Linked DNA regions of Drosophila melanogaster. The protein of the gene in region 1 purifies or fractionates together with the protein of each later gene. This does not show direct contact. Each region holds a gene or a part of one and is shown in the gene's direction. Other genes may lie near its edges. The genes, in order: Bap60, Elys, erm and polybromo.

Evidence for each region.
Region 2: the proteins of Bap60 (region 1) and Elys purify together in Drosophila melanogaster (affinity purification with western blotting, with the first as the bait; one study listed by BioGRID). This does not show direct contact.
Region 3: the proteins of Bap60 (region 1) and erm purify together in Drosophila melanogaster (affinity purification with western blotting; one study listed by BioGRID). This does not show direct contact.
Region 4: the proteins of Bap60 (region 1) and polybromo purify together in Drosophila melanogaster (affinity purification with western blotting; 2 studies listed by BioGRID, with this or other methods). This does not show direct contact.

The regions. Positions count from the first base shown.
Region 1 is NC_004354.4:13,156,935-13,161,485, reverse strand, and holds Bap60 (brahma associated protein 60kD), read left to right. Parts: upstream 1-1,977; 5' UTR 1,978-2,112; coding exon 2,113-2,220; intron 2,221-2,288; coding exon 2,289-3,572; intron 3,573-3,632; coding exon 3,633-3,788; 3' UTR 3,789-4,041; downstream 4,042-4,551. Other genes in the region: CG12096 (uncharacterized protein), read right to left, coding at 27-396, 453-1,603. UniProt on the Drosophila melanogaster protein: Involved in the recruitment and site-specific anchoring of the Brahma complex at specific promoter sites.
Region 2 is NC_004354.4:19,650,359-19,658,304, forward strand, and holds the start of Elys (elys), read left to right. Parts: upstream 1-1,946; 5' UTR 1,947-2,097; coding exon 2,098-2,200; intron 2,201-2,268; coding exon 2,269-2,904; intron 2,905-2,963; coding exon 2,964-3,280; intron 3,281-3,334; coding exon 3,335-3,698; intron 3,699-3,767; coding exon 3,768-3,958; intron 3,959-4,093; coding exon 4,094-4,870; intron 4,871-4,939; coding exon 4,940-7,946. Other genes in the region: Ranbp21, read right to left, coding at 1-942.
Region 3 is NT_033779.5:1,949,721-1,956,343, reverse strand, and holds erm (earmuff), read left to right. Parts: upstream 1-1,790; 5' UTR 1,791-2,018; coding exon 2,019-2,030; intron 2,031-3,464; coding exon 3,465-5,288; coding exon of another isoform or gene 5,289-5,549; 3' UTR 5,550-6,105; downstream 6,106-6,623.
Region 4 is NT_033777.3:24,799,461-24,807,152, reverse strand, and holds polybromo (polybromo), read left to right. Parts: upstream 1-1,893; 5' UTR 1,894-1,980; coding exon 1,981-2,932; intron 2,933-2,990; coding exon 2,991-4,582; intron 4,583-4,640; coding exon 4,641-6,093; intron 6,094-6,151; coding exon 6,152-7,119; 3' UTR 7,120-7,186; downstream 7,187-7,692. Other genes in the region: lili (lilipod), read left to right, coding at 1-175, 236-467, 534-742; Ude (Uracil-DNA degrading factor), read left to right, coding at 7,648-7,692.

The DNA.
Region 1 (4,551 bases):
GCCGCAAATGCCTGCCATCCGGCTTTCTATGCGTTGCCCTGAGGTTCAGTGGCTACATCGAGATCCGCCTGGACGTGATAGGGTCCCTCGTTCACATAGGCCGTGAAACGGATGGTTTCGGTGGGCGAAAACTCAGCGCTAGCGGACAGAATCTCCATAATTTGCCACTTCATATACTTAATGTCCCTGTGCAGATCCTTTTGACGCGAAAGAAGGAACTCCACAGCACCGCCGGTATTCTTTAGAGCTACAATGCCCCAGTTGTACTTACAAATGGTTTTCAAGAACGACAAGGCGGCCATTTGAAGATCGGGGAACGGAGTGTTTATCAGGTCCATAATGATATTAGCATGCGCTCCCCCAGCGAAGCACTCGTACCAGTTTTTACCAATGTTACTGAAAAAGAAGAGAATCATTAGAAGAAAAACTTCAATTATAGAGTTAAGCATTACATGATTTCTGTGGCAGGCGGCGTCTTGAAGTCATAAATCACATCCAGGGAGTTGAGCAGCCTCTTCTTGATGTGCGCCGATAGCTTCTTAGTATGCGAGCCATACTTCTTAAAGGACTTCTCCATGGCCCCGCTAAAGTGCATGTTCAGCAGTATCTTGCCCTGTGGAGTAGTGGCCAAATTGGCAAGCGTATCCATGGCAGTGGGCAGAATACTCTCATCCTCCGATTGAAGCTGCATGAACAAGCAGGCCAGCATGTGCGGGTAGCCGCCAATGATTTTCAGAGGCTGGTATACGGAAATTTTGCCGAAAAACTTCATAATGCTGGGAACGAGCAGGGCGTCTAGCGGATGCTCTTCGACGCGTTGGACCCGATAGCTGATTATATCCAAAACGCGACGACGTTCCATGTAGGACAGACCATGGTTTTGTTCGGCCAGTGGCACTAGGAGCTCCATTACGCTAGCCTGCAATAAAACATCGTCGTTATCCAGTTCGCTGAGAGCCGCATCCAGAATAAATGTAACGTCACTGAGTAAGGTGGCACTTTTCTTGGCCAGGACCACTGCCAATTCGTAGGCGCGACAGCGCACGATCTCATTTTGCTTTAGGAGCTGTACTAGCTTTGCCTGCACATCGGCATTGCTGATTCGCTGAGGCAGCACGATGGATAGGATATTGATGGCCAGAGAGGTACTCTGCGTATCCGGTTGTTTCAGCTCGTCCAAGATGAGGAAAATAAGCTCATTGTTGGGCAGGGTGAGAACCTGACCGACGGTCAACTGGCGAAGCAGCTTCTTGAACAAACTGGCCAACACCTGGGCACGCAAGGCTGGATTCGAGTGGGTCAAGCCACGTCTTAGCAGACTGGACAGCTGCTCGTCGGCGGTGTCCATCGCCAGCTGATCAAGGCAGTGGCACAGCAATTCCAGGGTCACGTCCACGGCCTGATCCTTGGGAACATGGGAATCCGCGGCGGGATTGGCGCAGTCATACAATTGGTCCGTGGTCAGCAGGCGTTCAATTATTTGACGCGGAAGAGCCGCCTCCTTTGCGATGGCTGAGTTCATGGCGGTCAGCGCATCCAGCCTTTGTGGCTTCGACTCCAGAGCCTTTAACTTGGTGACCCACCAATTGTCTTCCATTTCCATTTGTTTTCTGTGTTAAAATGACAGTCGGTTTCAAACCTATCGTTCTTCGATTTCAGAAGACGTTACTTGTCCGAACTTATTGGCGACTATCGATATTGCTTATGTTTATGGCTTGACACTGCAACTATCGAGCGTTTGGGCAAACCAATGTTTTCGATCGATAGTAGCAAGTGCTAGTATATTCCTTATCGTATTGTTTGTTTGTTACAAATGTCTTGAAAGTTTTTAAGTATATTTTCAAAGCCAACTATATAGCTGTAACTCTATTGAAATGAATAACTTCGATTAAAGTGCAAAATGATAGCCGCAGCCCTGCCAAACGTTGTAATATCTATCGCCCAGTCGACCACCACCAGTAATAGTGCATCCCTGTTTTGACGCCATTTTACAGGCGAAATTGTGTGTGTGTTTGACGCGTTGTTGTATTGAAACAAAAAGGCAGAAATTTTCCTTCGTCTGCAAAGGGCAATTGTTTACGGCTGGAAAAAAGGGAGGACTTCGTAGCAAAGATGTCGCAACGCTTTGCACCTGGCCAAGCGCCGGTGCAGTCGCGTTATCAGCCACCACCACCGGCGCCCGGCATGCGTCCCTATCCGCCGCCAGGCGCCTCTTTTCCAGTGAGTTTTCCACGCATTATCCAGCACCTACCGTTTCAATTAAGCATGTACAATCTTATCCGCAACAGCCGCGCGGGTTTCCCCTGCATCCGAACACTACTCAACCTGTTCCCGGCACGGCGAACGTGGCCGGGGTACCGGGAGTTCCTGGAGTACCCGGCGTACCGGGACCATCGCTACTGCAGCGCGCCGCCCAACAGCCGGGCTTTCAGAGCAGCCTTCGCGGTACTGGAGCCGGAGGTGGCGGTGTTGGATCCGGCGGAGGCAGCAAGAGGTCAAATGAATCCCGCAGTTTGGGTGGCGGTGGTAGCAAAAGTGATTTTGCGACGGCCAAAAAGAAAAAGAAGCTGGCCGAAAAGATACTGCCGCAGAAGGTGCGGGATCTGGTGCCCGAATCGCAAGCGTACATGGATCTGCTGACGTTTGAGCGAAAACTGGATGCCACCATAATGCGCAAACGTCTGGACATCCAGGAGGCCCTCAAGCGCCCCATGAAGCAGAAGCGCAAGCTGCGCATCTTCATCTCGAACACATTCTATCCCAGCAAGGAGCCCACAAATGATGGCGAGGAGGGCGCCGTTGCCTCTTGGGAATTGCGGGTGGAGGGTCGCCTGTTAGAGGATGGCAAGGGCGATCCCAATACAAAGATCAAACGCAAGTTTTCGTCGTTTTTCAAGTCGCTGGTTATCGAGCTGGATAAGGAACTGTACGGTCCGGACAACCATCTGGTCGAGTGGCATCGCACTCACACCACCCAGGAGACGGACGGGTTCCAGGTGAAGCGGCCGGGCGATCGCAATGTGCGCTGCACCATCCTCCTGCTGCTTGACTACCAGCCGCTGCAGTTCAAGCTGGACCCGCGACTCGCCAGGTTGCTGGGCGTACACACACAGACCAGGCCGGTGATCATATCCGCCCTGTGGCAGTACATCAAGACGCACAAGCTACAGGATGCCCACGAGCGGGAGTACATCAATTGCGACAAGTATCTGGAGCAGATATTCAGTTGCCAGCGGATGAAGTTTGCCGAGATACCGCAACGCCTCAATCCGCTGCTGCATCCGCCCGATCCGATTGTGATCAATCATTTCATTGAGAGCGGTGCAGAGAACAAGCAGACTGCCTGCTACGACATCGATGTGGAGGTGGATGATACGCTCAAAAACCAGATGAACAGCTTCCTGATGAGCACTGCGAGCCAACAGGAGATCCAGGGGCTGGACACCAAGATCCACGAGACGGTGGACACGATCAACCAGATGAAGACGAACAGGGAGTTCTTCCTAAGCTTCGCCAAGGATCCACAAATGTTTATTCATCGCTGGATCATCAGTGAGACGAGGGATTTGAAGGTTAGTTCTTTTTTTTTCTTTTTTGCCTCATACCGTTGTCTAAACCTTTCGTCCTTTCAGCTGATGACCGATGTAGCTGGCAATCCGGAGGAGGAGCGTCGGGCGGAGTTCTATTACCAGCCATGGACGCACGAGGCCGTTTCGCGCTACTTCTTCACCAAGGTCAACCAGAAGCGGGCCGAATTGGAGCAGGCGCTGGGCATACGCAACGGCTAGGTGAATGATGAGCTGATCATCTCCACCAGCCAATTCGTGGAGTCCACCGTCAAGAGACCTCCATAAACCGTGCGCACGGCAAACTCTTTTTCCTTCGCCAGTTTAGTTTAAGCTTAAAATATTTCCTTTTTTTCCGACAAGCCGAACTCCATCCCGTTCCAAAACGAAAATCCCCTTTGCAGTTGTCCCAAATACCCACATCCAGCACAAATATTGGACTTAACTGTAAGCTAATAAAATGGCATACAAATATAAAACTGTCTATAAAATTTGATTCGGTTCACTTTTAGAAACACTAAAGTTTAATTTTTATTACGAGTGATTTCAGTTGACTTTATATATATTTAGCCTTTTGATACTTTTGGGTTCCCTTTAAATTTTAGAAAATGCATTTGTTGGTTAATTGAGATTTTAGAATCACTTGTAGCCTTACGATCCTATACGATTTCATGTTAACTGATTGTTTCTAAAATACGTTTTGATCTACATTTGGATATATTATTGTAGGGTTTTAGCTGACCAATCTAACAATGTGAAAGGCCAGCGTTTGAGTCATCTCACAATATTTCATAATTTATACTTTAAAATTATGTGTTTTAGTAAGTTCCATAGTTCTGCAATCCTTTGATGCTGTTGATTTAAAATTGTATAAAACGCATTTTCAGTTGATGCTTCTTAACTTAACGATTTACGCACAAGCTTTAAACGGTTTAGACTACAACACAGGATTAATATCACTAGTAAACTAAAGACGGACTCGGAT
Region 2 (7,946 bases), 6.5 Mb from region 1:
GGAACTTGTGTCGGCCGGTATCTGACTGGCCTGGTAGATGTAGCGCAGCGGCTCCTCGTTGAACAGCTGAAGCAACGGCTTTCGCTCCTTGGTCTGGCCCTTGCGGTTCGTGATCTGCGCCAGGCACTCGGCCGCATTGCATTGGAATGCTTTGTCGTTGAGCAGGATGCAGAGGAAGTGCATCAGTTTGCCATTGCTGGACATGATGTGCTGGATGCTGACCCACTCGACGAAGCCGCTCAGCGTGAGCAGTACCATCTCGACGACACGGCTGTGCGCGTTCGCCTTGGTGTAGTTGCACAGACGCGTTGTCTCGCGGAACGCAGTCACATGCTGCTCCACCAGGCGCAGGAAGAACTCGAAGATGTCGTTCATGTTGTTGTTTAGCGCCTGGTACATGTCCTTTCGCCGCTGATTCGACTCGATTGTCTGTAATAGGGCCACGTCCTCCACCAGTCGCAAGAAGACCAGAAGCACCAGCTCCGTTTGGGCCTCGCCCTTGGTGCAGGCCTGGCTTAGCTCCGGCAGCAGGTCGGACCACTGCTGCGGCCACTCGCGCTTGATCATCTCGACGATGATGCGCGACAGCGCGTCCTTCGTGGGCAGCAGCGAGCGGTCCTCCGCCGGGCCCACGCCCACGTTCAGCATCTTGATGGCATTGTCCTTAATGTACACCTTCTCCTCGTGCGTAATGCAATTCCATCGGTACTTGATTGTGTACTCGATCAGCTGCAGGCCAAAGTGTCGCACTTGCTGGTTAGACTGCGGCGAGCTGGCCAGGAATAGGCCCACCTGGGCGCACATTGGCGACTCCTCCTTAAACCGCTCACAGGCCATGTAGGCCTCCAGGCGCGCCTGTTGCTGTGTCATCGGGTTCATGACTAGATCGATGGCCGAGGCCAGTTCGGCGGCCAGAGCCTCGGTGCCTCCGTGCTGGGACATCGCTAGCTAGCGTCTACCTGTGGGTATTGCGTTAGATTGGAATTGAAACAAATTTCCTGGGTGCGGCTTCTTCCTGCAACGGGCGCCATGTGCTCCACTTACCTCTGCTTGCCCCTGCCCACCGCTCGAAACCCAAATCTCGCCTAGCCTCTCGATCTCCGCCGCGATCCCCTCGTGCGTTGTCTGTGACCAATGCTTTTGTGGAGCCAGCCAACCAGCCAGCGAGCCAGACAACGTTTTGGAAGATTAAAAGAGCTGCCGCTACCTGTGTGCGTGTGTGCTATGTGCTATGTGCTGTGTGTTGTGTGGTCTGTTCCGTGTGCGAAATGCGGAATGCGTGAGCTGGGATTGTGGTGTGTTGGTGTTCTGGTTGGGATTGCCTGTGGGCACCGATGATCGCCCTGGGTAGCGCCTATTGCCTGGAACACAGCCTCTGGTCAGGTCTCTCACATTTGAGTCGCATATAGAAGTAGACCACTACTGAAACCGCTTTTCCGGCTGGGTTGTTTTAGAACAATGTGCAGCAAATCGCACGGGACAGGGTTGACAAGCGGCGCACGAAAGTTGCCAGATAGTATTGTTGCTATTGTATGTACTAAGAGCTTGACTCGGAGCTATATATGCCTGAATTGAGTGATACAAGGCATTACGCTTCAAGGTTGCTACTATCTGTGTTCATTCGGACTTCAAATGCAAAGCCAGCCGGTTGAGTTCCTTATGAAATTCGCGCAATATTTTCGCAATTCTGCAGCGTTGCCAGTCTGCTGGTGTTGAAGTTGCCAGGCTGCAAGTGCCGGCTTCTAGTCTTTTCTTCAAATGATTGGCTTGCCTCTCAGTTACAAACTTGTTTAAGCATGTATATAGAAAAAATTGAAAATGTACAGAAATATATGGTAACTAGTAACTCAAGTCCTTGCCATCGCTAAATTTGCGAATCTCTGTCGGACGTTAGCCAGCACTGGGCCACTCAGCGTGCATACACGACAAGCAAAACAACGGTTTTTTTGTATGCCAAATCGAGGCGGCAACGCCAGGCCGCTCAGGCACTCACACACTCACGCACACACAAAACATACACGCCGATCAATCGGTGCAAGAGCGCTGTATTTATAATTTTATTTTTATTTGCAAGCGGCCGGCATTGATGAAATAGAGATGGAGTGGCACGAAGTGGAGTTGGACGGTAGCCGCACGATTGCGTTCCCGGAGCGCATAGTACCCGGATTTGGCCGGGAGCCGTCGGCACATTTGGACGCCGGTAAGTGTGCACAAAATACGGCGTGTGCCGAAACCGATTCACCAAGAATCTCCGCTATCCCTTTACAGCCGAATACCTGGGCGGCATCATACGCGACGGGCAATGGGGCTGGGTGACCTGGCGGTATGGAAGCGATGCCACTTTGCTGGTCTGCAGCATGTCCACCGGCGATTACCTTTCTTGGCACTGCTTCTGGAGCGAATCCGATGATCTGGGGCCGCGCAAAAGCATTCGCTGCGTGGAGGAGCTCTTCCCCGGCGAACACGAACGCCCCGCTATGCTAGCCATCTGCCTGGAGTCATGGAACAGCGGCGATCAGAGACCCATCGACTGCCCGTTGAGCACGCAGGTGCTCATCTATGCCATTCGCAACAGTCAGGTGCTCCGCCGCTTCGACCTTCACGGTATAACGTGCAGCGCGCTGACGTTCCTCGATAAAAGAATCTATGGACTCACGCGACTGAGACGGTTTAAAGGCTGTCTGGCCGTGGCCACCGAGGAAGGCACTGTGCTGTTGGTTGATCTGAACAGCGACAGCCTGCAGGCGAGTACCCAAAGGCGCAGCCTTTGCTCCCCCAGTTCCAAAGATGAGCCGTCGGACGGGAACCTATACTTTGTATCCTCCGAGGAGTCCAAGAGGCAACTCAGCTCCAAGCTGACCCATTGTCGCTCCAAAGGGGCTCACTTGGCTGTGCGGATGGACGGTGAGTCTGTCACTGCCAGTGTGCCATGGTAGCTAGGTTAACCTTCAATTTACCAACAGTGGCATCCATTGGAATCAGTTGCCTTATGGGCATTAGCATGGCGCCCGGCTATGCTGCTGGTCTAGAAGACGGCCGAATCCTGATCTACGACCTAATCAACTTCGACGTGACCACTGATCTGAATTCGCCAGTAAAAAGGAAAGGGGTCAATAGAGCAGTGAAGCGAATGTGCCTCATTATGCCACCGGATGACCCCAAACCCTGTTTCTACATCTGTGCATTGTACCAAAATATCGACGTCCTGCAAATGATGCTGCACTCGGTCTGCTACAGGGGCTCGTACCGGGACCGGGAAACCCACACGATCCGTTTTAAGGTGAGAAATCTTGAGCCGTCACGCACAGACCAATATTGACTTCTTGCTTCGCAGGACTACCGTTCTAGAACCGTGCGCAACCGCCAAATCTTGGACGGAGGCATCTGCTCCGTGATCGGCTGCGCCACGGCGTCTACTTTCAGTTTTGCCGGCGACAACGGAACGCTGCTGATTGTCATCTCGTGGCACTCAAGTGCAGATAAAAAGAACAAGCTAGTCCTGTTCGACATTAATCAGTGGTACAAGGATGAGATGCCCACATCCGTTCACAAAAACGAAGTTCCTAATTACATGTCCGGCTACATACTCAGTGGTCTACAGACGGGACTGGCATTGGATTTGCGTTCCACCACCATATTGCACTTTGTCTCACTGCAGCGCTACGATGAGCACTTTTATCCCAACTCACTAACCTTTGGTAAGTGACAGCGGTGATTGAAGCCAGCGCCAGTAAGATTAATAGCCAAGTAATACCGTCTATTTCCAGATTGCTCACTGTTAACTCCAACTGGCAAACGGTACTACGCCCAGGACGGAGTGCAGCATCGGTTTCTGAACGCACTTCGCTGTGATCGTGCCACGCTCTTTTTGCGTCCTCAGATCTACCACGAGGACATCGTTCGCCTGCGTCTCCTGCCACAATTTTGTGAGCTTAACCCTAACGCCACATTCTCTAAGGTGAGCTACACACTAGGTTATTATTATCAGTTATCCGGAAATCTTCTGGTATCATATAGTACCACAGTCTTTGGGGAAATGAATCATGCTCGTTATACTCGTTTTAAAGTAACATTGCATTATCTTGCTCTCTAGATTGCCATGTACGAGTTGATACTGTCGGTGGCCCTGGAGCACAACTGCGGAGCTTTGCTTAACGACTGCGCACGGAGTTGGATGGATGGCAGCTTCTTGTGCAACATGATTGATAACACGCAACTCTCCTTGTCCACGCTGACCAACTGGATCTTGAAGCGCGCCGGACAGATCAAGACGAGGTGCTCGGAACTTTGCCATGGCATCTTTGATTACGGCGGCTATCCACTGGACCAGCGGGAACGGCGCGAGTTTCAAGTGCTATCCGGTCAGCTGCGTGAATTGGTACGATTGCAGTCCTACATTGTCGAGCAGGGACGGCGCAGGCTAACCTCCTCAATTTTGGACGATTGCCGTGCCAACGAGAGGGCGCTGAAAACGGTTCTCGAGTACCAAAGAGTGCTGCTTTGGTTTATCGATCACGGCCTCCTGCCGGAGGGTCAGCACATGGATAATCTGGTACCCGGCGAGCAGGCCTTCGTTCGCCTGCAACACGAGTACTCGGAAAAACGAGCGCAGGGAAAGATCCTCTACATTGATTCTCTGGGAAAACGCGCCTCCTTTCCGGAACCCTATCCGCCGGACTCGCTGCATGCGTATATACACTTGATGCTCAGTCCCGACATAGAACTCTGTCACAAACATGCTCTTATCCTCTACCTGCTGATGGACCTGAACCAACAGCTGGTCGGGCGCTTTCAGATTGCCTTTCAGCTGGACAAAGATCTGGCCACGTCATTGCGCTGCTTCTGGTACTTGGACCACGGCGATTACGAGGTGAGTTCGGATCGGTTAATATAAGCGAAAGTGTTATATTCATTCGTTTTGTGATGTATTTGATTACAGCGAGGCGTAGAGGAGCTATACAAGGAGCCTGCCCCCGCTAAGAACTTGAAATCGTGGCAGATGCGGCTGTTAATAGATAAACTGCTGGCTGAAGGTGCCGTCAAGGCAGCCAAGAAGGTGGTCAGTCGACCACCCGGTCCATTGTCCTCGGCGCTGCACATGAAAGTGCTCCTAGCCAACGAAAACATAACGGAAGCATTCCAAATCGCTCGCCTCGACGACGACGAGGATGGACAGCCGCTGCTGGAGCGCTTCTTCCGCCACTGCATTGAAATCAGACGCTTCAAAGTTTTGGCCGAGCTGTACCTGCGAGAGCCAGAGGAACGGCTGTTGTACAGTCTACTGCGCCAGTGCAGATCGCGTCAGACGGATTGCGTGCAATTGATAATGCTGCTTCAAAAGAGCAAGTTCATCGAGGCCGTGTCCTTTATGGATGAGGTGGCCGCCGAGCGGGAGCGAGATGAATCATCCAATACAATACTCCCAGCATACAGCGCTACAATGGGACCAGTTACACAGAACATCGCCGGCACGTATCTTCGCATCAGAGACACCTTGGAGCCCTACCAAAAGACCGGTCCCTTGGAGCCATTCAGCTGCCAGCTGGTCAAACAGAACGCCAGCGGCCAATTGGGCGGCATCTTTCAGAGTTCTGCCGTCAGTGCCCACTGGGCAACGCAATGCGAGTCCCCTCCAAAGATGACTCCCGTTTCGATCCAATCAAAAATAGGCTACACCAATGTGCCATTCCTGCGGCACGCGCAATACGGACATTCGGAGCTTCCACTTCCTCGGCGCATAGTAAAGCCGGTACCACACCAGGTGGTGGAGAAACGACAGCGGGAGCTAGAGGATCAGCGTACCAATCTACAGGACCAGAGGCAGCTAGGCACGGAGCGTCCCAATAAGCGTCCTTGTCTGATGGTTGAACGAATGGTGGAGGATGTTAAAGACTATGTGAGATCCATTCGAGAAAAAAGTTCGAACCAAATGGAGCAGGAAGAGGTCAAGCAAAACGAGGCGACCAATCTATTGCAGCCGCCAAATTTCCTCCAGGCGCGACAGTCGACGACGATACGCCAGAGCAGCAGTTCGCCACAGCCGATTCCACCGATCCTGAAGGGAAGCGGGGCCGTGGATGCCGTTAAGAGAGCTCCGCCGGTGGCTACATTCACAGCGCTGGCGGGGCCAAAAAGATTTCGCTTTGTGCCGCCCATTCCTCTGCGAACTGATAAATCTGATAAATCGACGGAGATGGGCAGCGAAGGTGCGGCTGAGGGTGAGGAGGAAACTGACGAGATCATTGTGGAGATCGAGTCAAGAAGCGAACCAAGGAGCGCCTGCAGCTATGAGTCCGACGAGGAGGATGAGTTCCTCTCGCCTTTAGTATCGGCCAATGTGTCTTTGGTGGATCCGGTACCATCGCGGAATTCTCCTCATTATTTCGCCCCACCAGCAGGACCACAGCCCCGAAACTCATTGCTACATGGGGGAAATGGAAGCGGTAGCAAGATTGGTACTGCAACAGGGAGCGAGAGTAGTAGTGGATTCGGTAGCTTCAGCACTGTCCAGCCGGCTCAGACGTCATCACATTCCCAGTTTGTGCCCACCGTCTGCTCGTCCAAGATGGGCGAGACGCAGTCACAGGTCTTCTCCAGCGGCAGCTGTGGGATTAAGATTTCCGAGCGCACTACCATCTGTGGCGAAATGGAATCCACCGATCTTGGTGCAGAATTGACGGCCGCACCCAGCGCACAGTGGTCTCTGCCATCAGCAAGGCCGGCTATACAGGGGCACCACCAGATGATGGACACCACGCTGGGAATGTCCACTTACGATGTGGCGTCACTTGAGCAGCAAGATACTCAGGATGTGGAGAACGAAGAGGAACTGAAGCTGGGTGACACAAAATCGCTTGAGGAGCAACAGAATCCACAGGACGAGCAGAAGCCGGAGCAAGAGCAGGATCAGGATGAGGATCAGGCGCAGGAGCCTTTGGCGACCGGTGGTCAGCTGGCGTTCCTAAGCAACTCAGAAGGAACGGCCCAGGAGCCCCTCTCCTCGCCCATCTACAGCCTCAGTAGCGAAGACTCGAACGTGTCCTCGGCCGGCATTCGGAATCCCATGCTGCCAACACTGCACACCGATGACCCAATGTACTCCATCGTTGTTGAGTCGCCGGGCTCCATAACCACATCCCGATCGGTTACGCACACGCCCACCTCATTCCTGCCCAGCGACACGAACGTATCACAGACATCTAGTCCGCAGGCACCTCATGGCGAGGATGGAGATGGCACGCCGATCTCATTGTACCGCGCCAATAGTCTGGAAACGGTTGACGACCTGGACACCACCAAGGGCTCGCTGGAGGAAGAGGAGGAGTACGACGATGATGATTGCGTCATAGCGCTGGATGGAACAGAAGTGCGCGGCTATGTCGCCCGACCCCAGCAATCGGCGGCCTCCAGCAGTGCGGAGCTGTTCGCCTTCAAGGACGAATGTCAGGAGGAGGCGGCTGGTGTCCCCAGTCCATTCCTTTCGCTGGGCGCCACGGTCAACAGCGACTCGGATGTGGCCGACACCATTGTCCTAGATAGCGATGAGGAGACGGCGAAGGAAAAGGATACTCAGCCGGAGCAGCGAAAGGATTGGCCAATGGAGGAGGAGACCCCGAGCAACGAGTCAGTGGCCACAGTTGAGTTTAGCGAGCAAAAGCAGCCACGTGCCGATATGGATATCGGGATGGAAGTGGATGCGGTGCCGGACGTGCTGGAGGTGCTGGAGGTGCCGGAGATGGAACCCTTGCCAGTACTTTCCGATGTGGATATCGAGATGGCGGTGGATGAGGTGCCGAACGTGCTGGAGGTGCTGGAGGTGCCGGAGTTGGAACCCTTGCCAGCAGGGCAAGCAACGCAGTCTAGTGGTCTTGGGGAAATTCCAGAAGAGGATGTCGACGCAGAAGCCGAAGAGCAGGTCGTTGTGAAGGTCGAACATGTGGCGGATG
Region 3 (6,623 bases), on another chromosome or scaffold:
GCTGCCTTTTTTCACTGCGTTTATTTATTCAACTAAATGCAGATTGCACATTTCAGTATGTGCCGTTCATTTAGCTTCCAGTTAATCACGCTGTTTTGCCCGCTTTTTGTCAAGGATAATCACCGGATTGTTTTTGCTTCGTCGAACGTATGCTTACTAAAATATTGGAATTATTCACACAATATTGAAGCTTGTTAAATTAGGCAGTAGAAGACACCTATAATAGTATTACGAATTTCCATGAATTTTCATGTTAAAGTAGATTTACCCGTCGGCATCTCAAAGGAATCAAACAAATAGTTTACAAATATTGTACAATAGTTTTTATGGTTGCCACATTCAACCCATCCAATCAACATTACTCCAATGAGGAAACCTAATCAACAAAGAGCTGATATTTGCATATCGATTTCCCCACACAAGAGCCGCACAACAAGCCAGATTAACGGAAAATGCAGTCGAAATGGCGGCCATAGTCCTTGAAGGATCCACTAAAACCCCCACGCTCCCCGTCGGACTCGCCGAAGAGTTGTGCTTTTGTGTGGCCTTGCAGCTGCAATTGCTGAACTGCTCAACTCCAGCAAAAGCAGCCATGTGCCCTGCATTGCCCAAGAAAAGGTCCTGGACCGTGGTCCTGCAAACGGATGGAGTTGGTGGAGCAGGACGACAAGCACTGCCAGAGCAAACAAAGTCAAGAAAGCCGCGCTGGAGATGCCATCAAAATGAATATGGGATTATATTTAACTAGTGCTGGCTGGCGATGCAGGGGGCTTCAAATCAAACAAATGAGAAAGGTGCACCTAGAGAACAGGGAAGCTAAAGAATAATATAAAGTTATCTAACCAATTTTATACAATTTACAATCTTTAAAAATTGGCGATTGATGCTTATCCTGCGACTAACATTCCTACATAGAATAGGGATTACTGATTGGATTACGGGTGAATTATTTTCTCTGTATATAGCAAAAAAAGATGAAGAATTGGAGAGAATCAAAGAATCCTTGCCCGCTGGCGGGCTAAAGGTGAGCAAACAAAGACGCTGATAAAACGAAATGCCAAAACGACAATTGAAACGCCCAACAAAAGGCATGAGCTTTCCAGGAGGGGGATGCGCTGGGAACGGGGAACGGGGAAAGGGGTGGGCCAGTGAAAAAGTCAACTCGAGAGGCATCCACGAGGCCGGTGGCTGCCATTTCTTGGTGTCTGGTGTCGCCCCATCCAAATCAAGTGTGAACGGAATACGGCCAAAGGTGGCCCATCCATCCATCCATCCATCCATCTCTCCGTCCGTCCATCGGTCTCTTTCCAGCAGCCGAGTGCTACGCATAGTGCGCTCCCTCTTTTGCGGAACCTCCTCCATCTCGTCACTCCTCTATGTATCATCTTCCTGGGCTCTTGAGCTCTATCTCTATATAAATATTTTAGGGGCGGTCTCTGCTCACTGCCTCTCTCTTTCGCCGTAATATTCCAATTCGACATTTTGTCTTTTCATTCATAATGCAGTCGCAGTCGACGGCGACGTCGGCGTCAGGACATATCCTCCAATCTGAACGTGATGATTAAGTTCTCCTTTTGCCCGTCGCTCCCATCAATCCATCTCGCTCTGTCGCTCGACCAGGACGTCTGCATCCATCTCTCTCTCTCCCTCGGCATGCATTTCATCTCTCACTCTCGCCAACGGCGGCAGCACGCAGGACTCTCGGGGGTTGTTTCGCCAGGATTCACCCCAGCACTCGCCGTGTGTCCTTTTCATATTTCTTAAGGCCCGCACCGTTCGCTGTTTGCCTTCATTCCGCTTCGGTCGCTGATCCTGTGCTGAACGCGTCCTGTTCCTCGCGTCCCTCGATTTGCATTTAAAAAGCGTATATCCTTATCGACGAAACAAGTGAACTTTAAATAGTAAAGTAAAAGGACCAAGTTCAATTTGTGTGTGCCAACTGTTGTGTTTTGCCTCTAACAAGTGGAGATCGGCCGCCTGCCAAGGGAACTGGATATCCACATAGGCAGTGCCTGAATATGGTTTACTTTGTACGTATTCGATACATAAAAACTTAATTTATTACTCTGTAATTGCAAAACTCCGACGGGAAAAGGAAAAAACTATAAAGTACAAGTTCGCTTTTTCATATTAGAAGCATTTCGAAGCTATTTGCGTGACGTTCGTAAGAAAAGCAGGCATTTACATAGGTCTATGTCCTCTTTAGATAGTATTTCGTCTTGTATCTTTACCATCATTCTTAACACTTATGATTTTGATTAACCCCATCAAAAGCCAGCTTCATCTCATAACTTCTAACATGTGCTAGGGCATAGCCACTTGTTCAACTCAAGACAAAGTTTCCAAGTGCCTGTGTGCTCCGTTGATTGAATATTATTCCACGCACTTGGTTAATAAGCTCGATGTGGTTCGCACTCCCCAAGTGGCGTTCGTAGAGGCAAATTTTGAAGTGGCCACTAGAACACCAACATAATTCGGCTGCTTAAAAGTGGAACTACTCGTTCGTAGTAGTAGTAGTTTGGCACCCGGGAAACTTTGGGATCGAGGGCTGACCGCCGCTGCCTCCGGGTCAGCGTGTGAAATGGTTGCCGCCTCTCGTTTAATGAGATTAAAGCGCACTTTGGAAGGGAAACTGCAAGATGGGCGAACTGCGGACCCAGATGGGAGCTGGGCCTGCTGAGGCGTCAAATCAAGTTAATTAAAAGCGGCAAGGAAGTCGGTAATCGCACCGGATGTCGCACATTAGCCACACTCGAGGGCACATGGGGAAGATGGAGCCGGCGAGGCGGCGAGGCGGCCTTACACCTCCAGTCGAGTGTAAGCGATTTAATGAATCTCACATAAAGCCAAGACCCGCGCCAAAAAATTCGCATACTGCTTACTGGGCCTGTGTTATGATTGATGGCAATATGCTGGCGAAAGGATTGAGGTCTTTGTTTGGGTTAAGTGGAGTGTAAGCCAGGGCAAAGCACGGGTTAAATGCAAATAGCGTGGTATGCAAAATCGATCGGGTAATATTATGGAACGCACTGCGGTTTGCGTTTAATTGCAACCCGCTGGCTGGCCCTGAATTATCCTGCGGAAATGTCCTGCCGCTGGGAGCACGCCCTCCGCTGGCGTTTGTTTGTGCTCCCGAATTGCCAACGCATTAGTTGCACTTGACTGATCAGGCGGTAAATAGTCCGTACAGCTGCGGTCAAAACAATAGGGACCACTTGAAATCCGAGCAACTTGGGAATAGGTGTTGTTATTATATTCATAATTATAAACCGAAATATATGCTTTACATATATGCTTTTGAAGGCAAGAAGTTTTTAGAAAGGTATGGGAACCAGAAATGTTATTTATCCTAGTTATTTCCCCCCAACTGTGGCCACAAACAATGGAGGCGTATGCCTTCGATTAATTGATAACCCGTTGCTTAGTTTGCATACTCAATTTGGCTCTTTGTTCGTTTCTTACAGAGTCCGCGTGGCATGCAACCGTGTAGTCCAGCGGGAGAAATCGCAATGATGCCGCCTTCGAAGAGCCCCGTGATGGAGAGCGCCGCCTCCGAACAGAATCCTGCCCAGCAGAGCCAGCAGCAGGACGAGCAGAGCGCCAAGCGGGCGTGTCCCCTAAAGTTTTCGATAGCCAAGATCATGGAGCCGGATCACAGGCCCAGCCAAGTGCCACCGCCGCAGCCCGCTCCGGTTTCCTTCGCCACCAACGATGACGACGAGGATGAGGATCCGGAGATCGATGCCGACTCGGAGCGCTCCTGCAGCCCCATCGAGGTGATCAGCCTGGATCAGTCGCCATCCACTGTCAACTATGACTCCGCTTTCAAGAAGTATGTGCCGGGTCCGTGTTCGGGCGCCACTTCATCGGTGGCCTCGCCGCCGAGCACCGCTGCTGTGCAGCAGTTTGTGAGCTCCCGCCACCAGGAGCTGCTCTCGCAGTATCCCCTGCTGTACTATGCACCCAATCAGCTGATGTGCGCCGCTGCTGCCGCCCAATATGCAGCCCTTACCGCCCAACAGCAATCGCTGGCCAGCGCCGCCCACCTGAGCAGCTTCACCGCATCCCTGAATGCCAGCTTGCATCACTCGCAGTCGCTGAGAAGAAATCTGGGTCATCCACTGGCCGCGGCAGCTGCCGTGGCGGCAGTGGCCCAATCCCAGGCGGTGCCCAATTTGCAACATACCCTGGAAAAGTCGCCAGTGGCCCAGAGAACAGCCCAGAGTTCGGGATTGCAAGCTAACTTGAAGAGGAAACGATCGCCGCAGGATCAGGGCGAAGTGACGCCGCCTCCAGCGTCTACTGCCACTTCCGCCACTGGAGCCAGATCCCGCTCCCCCTCGCCGCAAGGATCCATCGAGGACAGCAGTCCCGGATCGGCCAGTGGCGGCAAGCCCAAGACCTTCTCCTGCCTGGAATGTGGCAAGGTGTTCAACGCCCACTACAACCTCACCCGCCACATGCCCGTCCACACCGGAGCCAGGCCGTTTGTTTGCAAGGTCTGCGGCAAGGGATTCCGCCAGGCTTCGACTCTCTGCCGGCACAAGATCATCCACACGTCGGAAAAGCCGCACAAGTGCCAGACCTGCGGCAAGGCCTTCAATCGCTCCTCCACCCTCAACACCCACTCGCGCATCCACGCCGGCTACAAGCCCTTCGTGTGCGAGTACTGCGGCAAGGGGTTCCACCAGAAGGGCAACTACAAGAACCACAAGCTGACCCACAGCGGCGAAAAGGCCTACAAGTGCAACATCTGCAACAAGGCCTTCCACCAGGTCTACAACCTCACCTTCCACATGCACACGCACAACGACAAGAAGCCCTACACCTGCCGCGTCTGCGCCAAGGGATTCTGCCGGAACTTCGATCTGAAGAAGCACATGCGGAAGCTGCACGAGATCGGCGGCGATCTGGATGACCTGGACATGCCACCCACCTACGACAGGCGGCGCGAGTACACGCGCAGGGAGCCACTTGCCTCCGGTTACGGCCAGGCATCGGGTCAACTCACGCCGGACTCCAGTTCCGGCAGCATGTCGCCGCCCATCAATGTCACCACACCGCCACTTTCCAGCGGCGAGACGAGTAATCCCGCCTGGCCCAGGTCCGCCGTTTCGCAGTATCCGCCCGGTGGCTTCCATCACCAGCTCGGAGTGGCTCCACCTCACGATTATCCCAGTGGCTCCGCCTTCTTGCAACTCCAGCCGCAGCAGCCACATCCGCAAAGCCAGCAACACCATCAGCAGCAGCAAAGACTCTCGGAGACCTTCATAGCCAAGGTGTTTTGACAGCGATACTATGCGGAAAGCTTGAACAGCTCCACGGGGTCGACCTCGACGACCAGCTCCACGGTGACCACCACCACCACGGCCATATCCTCGATGGCCACCTCCAGGAGCGATCTGCTGATCGACTGACTGCAGTTTGTGGCAGCGGCGGCCGCTGCGAGCAGCTCGAATTCCGGGCAGGATACCGGCGAATCCCCGTCCCCGGAGCTCGGATGCACTGCTCTGGGCAGTGCTGTCCGCGCACTGAACGGTCTCTTCTAGGCAGAAGGACCCCTGTCCACCTCCACCCACCCCGCAGAACCTCAGCAGCCACCAAATGGTTTCAACTTGTGCAATACCCCACTCAGAAGATGATGATGACGATGATGATCCCAACGCTCAGCCCACATCTCCAAGCAGCATTTTGTACATAGCGTATCCCTAAGAAGTCTCACAGAACACTCTACTTAAGCAGCTCTCTCGATGTATAGATGTAGTTAAAGGATTTACCTAGTTAGTCGCCAATACCGAAAGCCCTGAGTTCCGTGTAGACACGCTACACAGATCCTCCAGGACACGTTTCGATATAGAAAAAGGTGTTTTTAACATTGCGTTACAGCTTTTTGGGGTCTGTCAACCGATATACATAGATGGAAATGTATCTTAGAGTTGCACTAGATATCCGTACGTACTCTATCCCTAAGTGTCTGTGTAACCCAACGCAAATTAATGAAATTGAGAAACATTTTAACAAAGATCCATGAATGCATTGTATTTGTTTAGGTCTTAAGTGATATTATTGATACTGTTTAAGCAATAAACCAATTCTTCAATTATTAAACGAAAATGGTGTTTAGATATGCTGGGAAAGCGTATATAATCTTCATATGCACATATGCAAATAACTGAGCAACAGTGTGGGGTGTCATTGAGTCGAGTGGAGGGATCCTAAATAATGCAAATGGATGCGAAATGAAAACAATTATTGCTGCATTACTCGGGCCCAAGAGTCGCGTTTAATGGGCTCTAAACTGTCGCCACGTCTGCCGCATGACATTTGCAACTTAATTAGTGCCGACCAGCCCCCACTTTTTCACCTTCCACTCGGGAAAACTCCGCAGGTGGCCTGGGCCTGCCACACGCCTCAATCATTTGCATAGCACTTTGATCTGTGGCTCGAGAAAAGTCAGGAATACCGGCGTGGAAATGGGTCTGGAGCAGGAAGGTTGAAGTTCTTGAGCCCGCTCATAAAAATGCAACAGAAGCATCCTTATTAGTCAGGCGGCTCAATTAATAAGGCACGGTGGAAGTGTATGAAAAATATATGAACACATATAACCTTAGTAATTACCAAAT
Region 4 (7,692 bases), on another chromosome or scaffold:
CTCCGAGCGCAAGGAACTAGACAAGCTGCGCACATCGAGCACCTTCCAACGCACATTCGTCTATCCGCTGGCCATGCTGCTGCTGCTCTTCTGCACAGCTGTCACCATTCTGCTGGTTGTGCAGAATACACTAGAGCTCCTTATTGGCATTAAGGCGCTGCCACTAAGCACAAGGGTAGGTCTAACTGCAGGGATCGTAAGACGAATGCTTATTGAGTTTGTTTCCCTTATTTAGCAATTCGCATTGGGCATCTCTTCGCTCTCGAAGTTGGGTCCCTTTGGTGCCGGCCTGGAGGTGTGTCTCATCTTCTATCTCGGCGCCACCTCGGTGGTGGGCTTCTACAGCATGCCGTTCATGCGCAAGGTTTGTCCCAAGCGGCGCCAGACTTCGCTGCCACAGCTAATGCTGAACTGTGGCTTCATGCTGGTTTTGTCGTCGGCATTGCCGCTTCTCAGCAGGATCATAGGTAGGCTGTGGCAAATTACTAATGAATAATACAGTGTTTAAAAGCGACTATTATTGATTCTTACAGGCATCACAAACTTTGACCTGCTGGGTGATTTTGGAGCCATCGAGTGGTTGGGAAACTTCCAGATTGTATTGCTTTACAATTTGGTTTTTGGAACCACAACTGCCCTGTGCTTGGCAAACAAATTCACGGCTACGGTGCGCCGGGAGCTAAGAGCCCGGTTAGTGGAGAACTATGTGCTCTTTACTAACTACATTAGCTTCATCAACTGATATTGGCGCAAGCGACACGACAATGCGTTTTGTATAAACCGACAGGAGGTGAGGCGCCTTGTCGAGTCGCCGCTAAAGAGCCTAACAAGTTTCTATACCAAGTATCGTAACCTTAGTCGTAAGAGCAGTCGCAATACCACCGCTAGTCGCAAGGCAAACGAAATGAACTGTTAAGACACGAGAAAAACATGGGAGATGGGCAGCTGAAACTATATAATATACCTTTACATATGTTATATGATCACGTATAGTTGTGCAGAACTGATACTAATATTTAAATTTTGCAATGTTAACTGTTGTGCTTAATTGTTGTACTTTATACAGACAGAGTCCTCACAGTGCACCAGCATATCACTGTGGTGCCAGTAAACACAGAACAATGGCACTCGTGTACCATGATATTCGCAGAAATCTCGCCAATAACTAGCATGTAAATAGAAGATGTAATTGTGCAACATAAGCCGCAGTCAATTTGCAGTAGGCGTAGTTTAGAATTTCGTTTCTTGTCGTTCAGAGTGAATTCCATTTCATACATGTTTTTCGCTATTTATCCACGTATATTTCAGTTATTTTTATAAGATTTTAACAATGTTCCTTAAGCAGCGAAACGATGAGGCGTGTTCATTTCATTTTACGGCATACTCAAATCTGTAACCCAATATTCACACAATCACACACTAACAAGCGTCTAAAACTTATGTGATAAAAAATAATAATAAACAAAGCATTTTACTAAATTAATCGAAATATCATGGCTTTTTAATTGCGCGCTTGCGTTTTGCTGACTTTTAAATTAAATATTGTTCTGTTTAACTTTTTTTTCAGCCTAACTTCGTTGTTTCTATTGGCTTGAATGCCTTTTTTCGAGAAGGAGCTAATTTAAGGAAAACTACCTACGATATTGCTGTGATTCAATGACTTAATTAAAACTTTAAATGATGCTTTAGGGATGCTATAATAAAGAACTTAAGTAAAATGATGTTCAGCTTGTTTATTTGGTTAAGAAATATGATTTTTGGTGGGAACATACCATTTAAAATAATATTCACCACCGCGCGCTTCGATTACGATAACTCACCACGCAAGTGGCCGGCTATCGAACTATATATCGACCGCGCACTATCGAACCTTTCGCCCACCACTACTTTTTCGCTCATTCCCAGAATTTGTGGCATTTTGTGTGGCGTCTTATTATCGGATATTTAGATTTTAACTGTAATAAGAACAGGGATAACACGATGCTGAGCCGCAAGCGCCGGGCGAGCAGCATATCCAGCCGGCAGGACGAGGATCCGCTGCAGCTGGACGACTCGACGCCGGAGCAGTCACCGGTGCAGCAGACGACGACACAATCGGCGCGAAAAAAGCGCCGTCTCGATCCCACAGAACTGTGCCAGCAATTGTACGATTCCATAAGGAACATAAAGAAGGAGGACGGTTCAATGCTGTGCGACACCTTCATCCGCGTGCCGAAGCGCCGGCAAGAGCCCTCGTACTATGACGTGGTGGTCAATCCCATTGATCTGCTCAAGGTTCAGCAGAAGCTGAAAACCGATTCCTACGACGATTTGGATGATCTGATGGCCGACCTGGAGCTGCTTATTGGCAATGCCAAGGCCTTCTACATACCGGGCAGTAGCGAGCACCAGGACGCAGTCTCTCTGTGGCAGCACATTCATTCGCAGAGACAGCGCATTATGGAGGCAAATGGATTGGCGGAGGAGGAGCCGCGTGCCAGACGCATGTCGCGCCAAGTGCGCCGAATGACCAGCAGCACTGAACCTGGTGGCGATGGAGCAACTGATGACGAGTACAACCAGTACGAGGAGCTCTTCGCCTCCGTTATGACCGCTACCGATCCCGTGGGCGATCGGTTAATGCACCGCATGTTCCAACTGCTGCCCTCCAAGAAAATCTATCCAGACTACTACGATGTCATTGAGCATCCCATTGATCTGCGCCTGATTGCGACCAAAATACAAATGAACGCTTACTCCTCGCTGGCGGAGATGGAACGGGATCTGCTACAAATGACCAAAAACGCATGTCTGTTCAACGAGCCTGGTTCTCAGATCTATAAGGACGCCAAATCCCTGAAACGGATCTTTACGCAGCGGCGTATTGAGCTGGAGATGGGCAAAGGCAAGCTGGCTAAGCGCGTCAAGAGTCTCTCCAGTGCAGCAATTGCTGGTAAGATTAAAAAAAACATTTTTTTTTCTTTTTTGTATATAAATTATTCTTTTTCCAGCACTAAAAGAGGAGGTTGACAGCTCGGACGACGAGGAGACCAGCAAAAAGGGCGAGGGGCCCATGTGGGCATTGTTCGATCACTTGTACAACGCACCAGGAACTTCGGAACATCCGGGAGTTACTGGTCCTCCATTGGGAAACTCTCTATGGAAACTGCCAGTTCGTCGTTTCCATCCCGAATATTTTGAGCTGATCAAACGACCCATATCTATGAGCCAAATCCACACAAAGCTCAAAAAGGGCGATTATGCGAACATTAGTGATCTCACCGCCGATCTATATCTCATGCTGGACAACGCCAAAAAGGCGTTTCCGACGTCCCATCGCACTCACAAGGATGCGCTGAAAATGTTAAAGCTAATGAATGCCAAGCTGGTGGAGGAGTCTCTCGAGGAGGGCAGTGATCTGGATGACGAGGATGCAGAGGAAATGGACACAGAGGTATTTACGGTTAGCACGCAGCCGGAAAAGCGCAAGCCGGGCAGACCCCGCATCAACTCCAATTCGAACTCTAACGCCTCCCATACACCAAATAACTCGAATTCACCCAAATCAAATCGCATTGCCATCAACGCGGCTATTAAAAAGAAGATTCTGAGCATACAGAAATATTTGGTGGACTACTCCTTGGGCAATCGTCGTCCCATCGAAATGTTTATGGAAAAGCCGCCTCGCAAGATTTATCCGGACTACTACGATATCATTCAAAACCCCATTGACATGAACACTATCGAGCATAACATTCGCACAGATCGCTATGCCGCCGTGGAGGACGTGGTATCCGACTATCGACTTATGTTTTCCAACTGCCGACAGTATAATGAGGAGGGCTCTAACATATACGAGGATGCCAATATATTGGAACGAGCTCTAAATGAAAAGCTCAAGGAGTTCCCTGGTCTTACAGAGGGCAAAAAAAGCCAGCAGAAGTACAGCAAGGTGGGAAGAAAGTTAAAGACCGCTGTAATTACAGAGCGGCTGTGGCAATTCTATGAAACAGTAAAGGAGTACCAGGAGCCCAAGGGTAAGAGGCAGCTGTCGCTTATATTTACGAAGTTGCCATCCAAGAGCGAGTATCCGGACTACTACGACATTATCAGGGAACCTATTGACATGGACCGAATCGCTCAGAAACTTAAACAGGGCGCTTATGATACCTTAGATGACTTGGCAGCGGACTTTCTGCTGATGCTGGAGAACGCCTGCAAGTATAACGAGCCAGACTCGCAGATCTACAAGGATGCGCTCGTGCTACAACAATTGACACTGCAGCTGAAGCAACAACTGCGCACCGAGCGCGATTCTCTTCCGGATGTTCCTTTGGCTGTTCAGGAGCTGTTCCTCACACTGTTCACGACTATTTACAATCACCAGGACGAGGAGGGACGTTGCTACTCGGATTCCCTGGCCGAACTGCCGGAGTACGATGAGATTGGCGAAGGACCCAAGGTTCGCGGCATTTCGCTGGACCTTGTAAAACGAAGGCTTGACAAAGGAGCTTACAAACGGCTTGATGTTTACCAGGAAGATATTTTTGCCTGTTTGGAACGTGCAAGAAAGTTGTCCCGCACAGATTCGGATATTTTTCAGGTGAGTAATAACTACAATAATAGAAGCATTGTACTATTCTAAGAACAAACTTTTCCAGGACTCCATCGAGTTGCAAACATACTTCATTCGCAAGAGAGACGAGTTATGCAAGGACACACTTAGCTCATCCGCTTTAAATTTTAGTCTAGAACGCCTTATGGCTGATGTGGAGCTGTGTCGCCAGCAAAAAATGCAACAAGAGGAACAGGACCAAGAGCAGGATAAGGAGAAGGATGAATTCAATGCAGCCAAGGGTGAAAGCATGACAATAAACCAGCAGGTGTTTTCTCCCGGCGATTACGTATACGTGCAAATGCCGGAAAACAAGATTCCCTCGATATGCTGCATAGAGCGCCTCTGGACATCACCCACCAATGAGAAGCTGATGCAGGCTTCGATCTTTGTACGGCCCCACGAAACGTACCATGTAACCACTCGCAAGTTCCTCGAAAAGGAAGTGTTCAAGAGCAGCCTTTCGCAGACCATCTCGATGGATAAAGTGCAGGGCATGTGCTACGTAATGAACATAAAGGATTACATCAAGATGCGTCCGGAAAACTTGCCTGAAAAGGATGTTTACGTTTGCGAGTCTCGTTACAATATCCAAGGTCGCTGGTTCAAGAAGCTGAAGAGCTGGCCGCCAGTCCGTGAAGGCAGCTCGGTGAAGTTCGTTCCACGAGAGCAGCCATTGGAGTTAAAACGTGTGATGTCTGTGTTTAAGGAGCGTTTGGAAAAGCACAAAGGAGAACTGGAGGAGCTGAAGCTCCAAGAGACGCTGGTCGAAAAGGAGAAACCAAATGTGTCTTGCGATCCGCCGCCAAATGCTGAGGTTGGCAGCACGTACTACCAGCAGTACAACACCATTTGCAGTGGGGCCATAAAAACGGGAGACTTTGTTTACGTGGCCACCCAAACAGGAAAGCAGTCGGTGGCACAGGTCCAGCAGATTTGGGAGCAGAATGGAAAATCATACTTTAAAGGTCCATGGCTGTTACCACCCAGCGAGACGACCCCCGGCTTGGGCAAGCAATTTTATCGCCAGGAACTGCTGCTGAGCACAGTCGAAGAGGTCAGTCCGGTGGTGGGCATCGTGGGTCGTTGCGCCGTCCTGGAGTACTCCGAATTTATCAGCTCCCGACCCACGGAGATATCCGAAAGCGATGTGTACATTTGTGAGTCCGTCTATGATGAGCTAAAGAAAGCTCTTCGCAAGTTGGTTACGGGCAACATGCGCAAGTTCCAACACAGTCCTTCTGTCACCGAGGATGAGATCTTTTACTTTAAGACTCCCATTAAGCCCTCCAAGGACTTTAAGAACGAATTGAATGAACTGGGCATGCTAGAGGATTCAATGGATGGGGATACACCCTCGCTGAGCTCAGACATTGCGGCCATGTCCTCGCCGGCTCCTTCAGTAAACTCCACGCCACTGACGTCCAAAGTTAAGGCCGCCAAATCGGCCAAAAAATGTCTTACCGGTTACATTTTGTACTCTAGTGAAGTTCGAAAAAGTACGTTTATTTAGTATACTTTAAAGATCATGTATAACCGTTGAACTTTCTTTTACAGGCATTTGCCAGAGCAACCCGGACGCAACCTTTGGAGACATATCCCGCATGGTGGGCACCGAATGGAAGAATCTGCCCTCCAGCGTTAAGCAGAGCTGGGAGGATAGGGCTAGCCGACAGAATGAGGAGACGGCGGCCCTACGGCGCGAGTTGGACGACGTCCAGAACAGTGCGAGTCCCTCATCCCAAGTTTCGCAGGATGTCTTTGGACAGGTGCTCACCTTTGAGTGTCAGTGGGATAAGTGCGACTTTCAGTTCGAGGAGCTTAGCGACTGCACGGAACATTGCATGTCCGATAGCACCGGACACATCCAGCGCCATCCACAAGCGGGCGTGGAGACGGAGTATGTCTGCCTGTGGCGCAACTGCCCGCGGGTCAAGAAGTCTGTTCAGGCCTTTCCTAACGTTCTGCGCCTCATCAAGCATGTGCGCGAGGTCCATCTGAGCAAGTGTGGCAAGACGATTTCGGCGGCAGACCGCAGCAAGAATTTCGTGCCGCGTCGGCAGAAGCATGCGCAACTGGCCACTACTGTGCCCATCCCGCCCAGCCTTGCGCAATCGCCGCGCGCTCCAAGCAATCTCGAGGCAGTGCAGCTCCAGCAGCAGCAGCATCCGCAGCAGAACATGCACCAACTGCAGCAACAGCAAACGATCGTCTTGGGTCCGCCACCAGAGCCGCTCTTCGTCACAGTGCCGCCGCGCACCACTCGCGTCATCCACTCGGAGGCCTACATTAAGTACATCGAGAGCCTGCAGACGGGCAGCCATCTGAACGTGGTCACCTGCAACAACAATTGGCGGCGTGCACTGACCCACATCACACCCGCACAGGTGGTGGCCAAGACGGCGCTACCCGAGAAGTGGATCGGACCGAATCTGCGCGACCAGGGCAACGTGGTGCAGGCACTGTGCCACCTGCGCAACTTCATGGTCGACGATATACTTCAAATACGGCGCAGTTGCAACTAGCCCATCGTTCACCGCTAAGCCCAAAGCTTTTTGAGTTCCATGTTAATAAACAACACAAACAAATTATAACAATTTTCGTATTGATTGGGGAAAATATATCATAATAAATATGATTGCAAATATAACGACAGCAATGTCATATTACATGCTTTAATATGCAGAGCGGCGTTTAATTAGGTAATTAATACTTAAGATCGTTTATTTCCTCTCAATGTTATCAGTTTCTCGTGGCGCTGACGTCATGGCTAAGTATCGATTATTTTCTCGTGGGTTTTGTTTTGCTCCGGTGCTACGACAACAAACCGGTTTCCAAACATAGAGTCACCCAGTTATTTTGTGGTGCTTATCTAATTGGCCACGCTCAGCTCTGATCAGTGCCTCTCAGTGGTGCTCATTTTGCGTCTTCCTCCCATGATTAAGTGCCATATGCCGTCGAGTTGGAGACGGCTACGCAAAATCAGTCGTATTCTAGCGCTGACAGGAAGCAGACAGATACTCACCCAAGTATTAGCAACCAAAGGAGCAGCAATGGCAGAGGGAGATTCGAAATTTGGCTTCAAGGACATGGAGAAG